Caenorhabditis elegans: one gene and its partner. The protein of the gene in region 1 purifies or fractionates together with the protein of each later gene. This does not show direct contact. Each region holds a gene or a part of one and is shown in the gene's direction. Other genes may lie near its edges. The genes, in order: col-138 and ZK686.5.

Evidence for each region.
Region 2: the proteins of col-138 (region 1) and ZK686.5 fractionate together in Caenorhabditis elegans (co-fractionation; one large-scale study listed by BioGRID). This does not show direct contact.

The regions. Positions count from the first base shown.
Region 1 is NC_003282.8:17,182,078-17,185,417, reverse strand, and holds col-138 (Nematode cuticle collagen N-terminal domain-containing protein), read left to right. Parts: upstream 1-1,688; coding exon 1,689-2,534; downstream 2,535-3,340. Other genes in the region: C52D10.3 (DUF4140 domain-containing protein), read right to left, coding at 2,866-3,001, 3,049-3,256.
Region 2 is NC_003281.10:7,765,658-7,769,586, reverse strand, and holds ZK686.5 (Putative zinc finger protein ZK686.5), read left to right. Parts: upstream 1-2,071; 5' UTR 2,072-2,132; coding exon 2,133-2,179; intron 2,180-2,224; coding exon 2,225-2,324; intron 2,325-2,371; coding exon 2,372-2,450; intron 2,451-2,494; coding exon 2,495-2,718; intron 2,719-2,764; coding exon 2,765-3,106; 3' UTR 3,107-3,198; downstream 3,199-3,929. Other genes in the region: Putative zinc finger matrin-type protein snu-23, read left to right, coding at 1-96, 146-372; ZK686.3 (putative dolichyl-diphosphooligosaccharide--protein glycosyltransferase subunit 3), read left to right, coding at 551-753, 873-1,558, 1,666-1,772; Putative ATP-dependent RNA helicase ZK686.2, read left to right, coding at 3,538-3,588, 3,643-3,717, 3,809-3,929.

The DNA.
Region 1 (3,340 bases):
TTTTTCAATGGATTGCGCATCGCTTAGCAAGTACGAAGATGTTTCGTGTTATAAAAGAGATGAAATGGGACGATTTGTGAGTACATTCCAGCCAGCCTCTTCATTAATTTTATTTTTTTGGATTTTCTAGCGGTTACTTTAGATGTATTCTTGTTACAGCTGAAACAGTTTTTTTTAATTGAAGCACCTTCATCAATTGTGCACTAGGTTTTTATAGCAAATGTGTAGTCATAAGTTTGCTGAAACAGCAATCATCCAAATTGTTTTCCTTTCCGTAACTTGTGATGAATTATTAAAACGGTGAAAATTTTTCTGAATGAATAGTTTTCAAAAGTTTTAGTATTGAAACATTTTTTTCATTAGCCAGAATATTTTTGAGAAAACTATTCCAAATTCATAAAATTATTGAAACAGTAACAATTTTTGTAACTTTTTTTTATTTGACAATCATTAGTTCAATTTGTGTAAAGAAACCGTTTTTTGGGCTACTGTCACAGTACTGAAACGTAGAATTGTCTCAACAATTTCAAATATTCACTAGAATAAAGCTTTCTGATTTTATTTTTATTGAGTGAATATCGGGTAGAAACAGTAAAATGCATTCATAAATTCATTTTTTTAATTAAAAAGTTGAGAACACTTTTTTGTTAGACTGGTGAAACAGTAGCATTTTCAAAAATCCATTCACTAGGAAAATTTTCGATTAATTATAATTACTATTGCAGTATGTTCATTTAAACATTTGCATTATTGCAGCAATATTCCACGACGATACGATTTTCGATTTTGTCTAGTTTCTATGAAGTTATTCAATGAGAACCGCTAAAATTGTAAAATTAATAAGAAAAATTAAAATTCGGAAAATTTTTCAACAGTTCAATTTTTTCCTCAAAAATTTTGATTATGCAGGTTTTCGATTTCTTGATAATTAATTTTAAATTTTTTTCAGAAAAGAATCAGAGGATTCATTAGAATCAAAAGTTGCAATTTTAGTGCAGTTAGTGAAAATTTATTTATTATTTATTTTTAAGTGCAGTTAGTGAAACAGTAAATTTTTTTCCAAAAAAATTCTTCAGTAAATCGTTGATTTCTTTAAAAAAATGACTGGTAGCAGTACTTTATTTCATTTTCAACAATACGTTAAAACAAGGAACAATTTTGAAAAATTCGTTAAAAGCAGAAAAGGAAGCGTTTTTCTACTTTAAATTTTTTTACTGTTTCAGCAACTGAATTTAATGATTTAATGATTTTCGAGTTACTCTAGCATTTGTATCAGTCATTTTAAATTTGAAAGATGTACTTTCGTGCATCGAAGGGAACTATTTATTTAGAATTAATGTAACAGTGATTATGTAAAATATTATTTAAGTAAGTTTATAGCAACAAACTGATTGATAGTTAACAATTTAATTTGGCGTATTAGTGAAGCAGTACGTTTTTTTTTCATTGAAAAAGTAATAGGCGCTTGTCATCTACTCCATTCAGAAATTAGAAAACCCAGAAAATGTCGGTTGCCATTTTTTGGCCTGATTATGCAACAAGTAACATTGTACAAGTAGAGTTCACAATCAAAAGCTTCAAAATTTTGAAAAATTTCTGAAACAGTGATAACTTTTTTCAGTTTTCTTTTTCTAATTTTCTGACCTGACCCCTCCCACCCTCATCAGGTTTTTCCAGAACCTTCCACCATGGACGAGGACCGTCAGTCTGTCAAGAAATTCGCCTTCTTCGGAATCGCCGCCTCGACGGTCGCCACTCTTACAGTGGTCATGGCAGTTCCAATGCTTTGCCTCTACCTTCAGAACATTCAATCTGGACTTCAAGACGATTTGACTTTCTGCAAGTCCCGTACAGACTCTCTCCGCGGAGAGTACACTCGGCTCGCCGCTTACAGAGACTCTGCTGTGGCCACCCTTCGCCAGAAGCGTTCCACCAACGAGAAGTGCTGCTCTTGCGGAACTGGAACCGCCGGACCAGTTGGAGCACCGGGAGATGATGGAGCTCCAGGATCCGACGGAAAGGCTGGAAAGCCTGGAGTCAACGGAAAGGATGCCGATGCCCAGCAGATCCCAACCGCCGACGATTTCTGCTTTGAGTGTGAGCCATCTCCAGTTGGACCACCAGGACCACCAGGACCAAAGGGACCAGACGGAGAGTCCGGAGCACCAGGAGAGCCAGGGCCAGCCGGCCGTCCAGGAAACAAGGGAGCTCCAGGACCAGCCGGACCAGTCGGAGCCGATGGAGAGCCAGGAGAGCTTGGAGCACCAGGAGCACCAGGAGTTCAGCGTACCGTCGCATCGCCAGTCGGAGAGCCAGGAGAGCCAGGAGAGCAAGGACCAAAGGGAGAAGCCGGACAAGATGGACGTCCAGGACAGCCAGGAAGACAAGGACCACAAGGAGAGCCAGGACAAAACGGAAAGGATGGAGAGCCAGGAAAGGACGGAGTCGACGGAGAGCCAGGAAAGCCAGGAGAGGACGGACCAAAGGGATCCTGCGATCATTGTCCACCACCAAGAACTGCTCCAGGATATTAAGGAGGAGTTTCGCGGATTTTCTAACTTATTGCCTCTTGTTCTACTCGGGTTTTGCACCGATTTTGTATAAACGACATAATTTTCTTTTGAATTTTTATATTTTAGCAGCCGACGTTTAAATGGAAAGATTAGAAACATTTCACGAGTGGCTAAGTCGAACATTTTAAGTATAAGACAAGAAACCTTACTGGCGATATTTTTGGCAAGACGAACAAATAATTACTCTCGGTGGAAATTTTTGCAGCCGACACTTTGTGGGAGAAAAACCACCCGTAAGATGTCGGCTTCTAGAGTTTCAAGCTTCTTGCACTCGTGTACAGTTAATTCCCACCTCTTAATCGAATCATACTCTGCCAGACATCTTAGCTGATCCAATTGTCTGTCCAAATGATCAATCTTCTCCGAAAGCTGTTCACTCTCCCGCTGACGCTTCCGCAACTCTTTTTTCATATCTCGCACGGCGTCTCCTAAAACAAAAGTGGCTTTTAAAGCGTTAATTTCTCAATTCACTCGCCATAATATCCCAGAAATTTAGCCAGGTTATCCAATGACTCGTGATTAAAAAAGAAGCCAGTGGACATTTGATTTTGGCTCATCGCCAACGGATTCGGCTCCTGGCCAGTGACTGTGTGACGGCGAGTGAGGTGGGGCTGGCTCCCGGAAGCTGGAATGCTCGAAGAGCATTGGCCCGAAAAGCCCATTGAAGCCGGGCCGGAGGAAATCTGGAAAATTAAGTTTCAAAGCGGATGTAAGCAGTAGAGTTGAATTGTTCGTCATAACGATTAAATGGAAATTAAACGGAATAG
Region 2 (3,929 bases), on another chromosome or scaffold:
GAAAAAATCATCAAAGAAACATCGGAATGTCTATGAAAACTAAAAAGAGCACAGTTGCTGATGTCAGAGAACGATTCAAATTAATGAAAGATAAAAGTGAGTTCAAAAAAAGTAATCAGCTCATTTAAACTTTGCATTGTTTCAGAAGAAAGAGAAAAGAAAGAGGCACAAGTGGAACAGTTGCTAGAGGATGTTCAAGAAGAAGAGGCGAGAATGGCTGATTTCAAAAAGGACAAGAAAACAGACAACAGAAAACGAAAGAGGGACACCAGAAAAGATGAAGAAGAAGACGACGACGAAGACGATAGCGGACTTGATCCTGAAATTCGCGCAATGATGGGCTTTTCTGGATTTTCCACCAGTAAACGATGATTATCAAAAATATGATCTCATTTTTATACATAATAAAATTCATTGACGTTTTTTTTTCATTTATGTCTTCAAAGCAGTTCCGATTTTCTGCATTACTATTATCTGAATACTCTGTAATTTGTTCCTTGTTTTTATTTTCACAATTTTTCAGATGAGAACAATGGTATTACTGTTCTTCATGCTGCTCGCCGTCTACGAGTCGGCTCAGCAGCAAACCCTCGAGGATAAAGTTCAAAACCTTGTCGATCTCACCTCAAGACAGTCCATAGTCAAGTTCAATATGGACAAATGGAAGACTCTTGTTCGAATGCAACCAAGAAATTACTCAATGATTGTCATGTTCACTGCACTTTCCCCAGGTGTTCAATGCCCAATTTGCAAGTAAGTTAACTTCTAATTGGAGCAATCGGACAATTAAAGTAAAATTTCTCCCCGAAATAATGATTATATTTAGAACGTTCATAATACAACGTACAAATTTTAATTATTTGGTTTTCTAGACCGGCCTACGATGAATTCATGATTGTCGCCAACTCTCACCGCTACACCAGCTCCGAGGGAGATCGTCGTAAAGTATTCTTTGGAATTGTTGACTATGAAGATGCTCCACAAATCTTCCAACAAATGAACCTCAACACAGCTCCTATTCTCTACCATTTCGGACCAAAGCTTGGTGCCAAGAAGCGTCCAGAGCAAATGGACTTCCAGAGACAAGGATTCGATGCTGATGCTATTGGACGATTTGTTGCAGATCAGACAGAAGTTCATGTTCGTGTTATCCGCCCACCAAACTATACTGCTCCAGTCGTAATTGCTCTTTTTGTTGCACTGCTCCTTGGAATGTTGTACATGAAGAGAAACAGTTTGGACTTCCTCTTCAATAGGACTGTGTGGGGATTTGTCTGCCTCGCTATCACTTTCATCTTCATGTCCGGACAAATGTGGAATCATATTCGTGGACCACCATTCATGATTACCAACCCGAACACCAAAGAACCATCATTCATTCACGGATCCACTCAATTCCAACTCATCGCTGAAACTTACATCGTCGGACTTTTGTATGCTTTGATCGCTATTGGATTCATTTGTGTCAATGAAGCAGCCGACCAGTCGAACAGCAAAGATAGAAAGAATGCTGGAAAGAAGCTGAACCCACTTTCCTTGTTGAATATCCCTACAAACAGTAAGTTTGAATAAATTTTTAAAAAAATTTGAAGATAATAAATAGGTATTTTCCAAACAGTAATAATTATTGCAAGTTCCAGAACTATCATAATATCATATTTTCAGCTTTGGCAATCGCTGGACTTGTGTGCATTTGCGTCTTCTTCTCGTTCCTTCTGTCTGTCTTCCGCTCCAAATATCGTGGATACCCATACTCATTCCTCTTCGCCTAAACGTTTCTTCCTGCCAGATTTCTAAATATTTAATAAGTTATTGTATTATCTCCTCTCTCTCTCTCCCCAAAGGTTTACTGTTTTTTAATTACTTGTACCGAAACTAGAAGGTGTTTTCCCCTTCTCCAAAGAAGCTTTTTGTTGTTGGGTTTGTGTGATATTATGTACTTCCTTTTTCTCTCAAAATTCCGGATTGAATTGTAATTTAAGTTAAATAGAAAAGATAAATATTAATTTATTCAGTATACTATCGTGAACTCTAAATGCCCTAGTTTGTTCAGAATTTTCTAAAAATCTCACGTGGTTTCATGAGTTGGATTTCATGTGAAGAAATGACAATGGACAGTCGTGGTGGAAACGATGACCGATCTGGATATAGAAATTGTGGATGATATAAAGAAACTTCAGTGAGTTTAATCTGATTTCAGATTGGTTGAGAAATGAATTTTCAGCATATACAATGAATATTTGTTGAATCGTGAAACTCTAAAAGCAACAAAAGAGCTTTGTGAACTAATGAGCCATGAATCTGTAGGATGCTCTTGTTTCCAGGTTTCTTTCTGTTCATCGGAGATACGTTGAACCTAAAAATATTTTAGGAATTCCCAGTTGAAAAAGCTCCCGAAATGCCAGATTTCACAATAATCCAACCAGATCGGAAATTTGATGGTGATAATGGTATTGTCTAGGAGTTTTTTTAAAGTATTTTCAAAATTTTTCAGCAGCGGCAGTAGCTGGAATATTTGTACGCAGCTCTACTTCGTCATCATTTCCTAGTGCATCATCCTATATTGCAGCCAAGAAACGAAAAAATGTAGATAATACAAGTACTCGAAAACCATATTCTTACAAGGACCGAAAACGGAAAAATACAGAAGAGATCAGAAATATTAAGAAAAAATTATTTATGGATTTAGGAATTGTTCGAACAAATTGTGGCATTGATGTGAGTGAATTTTGAAATTAAAAAAAAATTAAAAATTGTATTTTAGAACGAGAAGCAGGATCGAGAGAAGGCGATGAAGCGGAAAGTGACAGAAACAATTGTAACAACCTACTGTGAGCTCTGTGAGCAGAATTTCTCGAGTTCTAAAATGTTGCTTCTTCATCGCGGAAAAGTTCACAATACTCCATATATCGAATGCCATCTATGCATGAAGCTCTTCTCTCAAACAATTCAATTTAATCGGCACATGAAAACTCATTACGGACCGAACGCTAAAATTTATGTTCAATGTGAGCTCTGTGATAGACAATTCAAGGACAAGCAATCGTTGAGAACCCACTGGGATGTATCACATGGTTCCGGAGATAACCAAGCAGTATTGGCATGAACTCGTAGATTATTTTTATTTCGTGTAAAATTTTTTGTGACCTATGCAGACTCTAATACGTTTTTTATTCAATAAACTCGAATTATATCTTTAAATTTGTTCTGATATCTGCAGTAGACACAACCCATTGAACAACTGACAGTTAAGTAAACAATACAATGCAAAATTAATTTATTAAAAACAATTGAATTCGATGGAATTTATTATTTGTATAATATATTCGAACGAATGCAATTGAATAAATTAAATTTTTTTTCTAAAAATCGATCGCGAGCAAAAATAGCAACGCTCCGAAATCCCGCAACGCGCGCTGTTTATCGTAAATGCACACCAATTTTTCTCCGCTGTTCTTATTATTATATATTAATTTTTCTCCGCTGTCCTTATTTTTTCAACGCATTTTTTGGTTCATATTTTAATTTCTCCAGATAATGAAAAGAAAAAACCAAAAAGAAGACAGCGACACGGAAAACGATGATGAGGTATTTTCATTTTACAAAAAGTTTACATTTGACTTATTTGTATTAAATATTCAGATTGAGCCAGCAAACGGAGACGGAATTGAACAAGAAATGAATAGAGTAACAAACGGAAATGAGGATGATGAATCAGTGAGTTTTAATCAATTTGTTTTCTTGGCGAAATTGAAAGCGAATTTTATAAAAAATCCTGTTTAATTTTTGACTTTTTGAATTTTTGAAGGTTGGCAATGATGTGGCAGAGCCTATGGAAACAGAAGACGTAGAAGATTCTGGCGAAGTTGAAATTGAAGAAACTGCGCAAAATGGTGAACGAGAAATATTTAAAGTGCTCGGAAAACAAG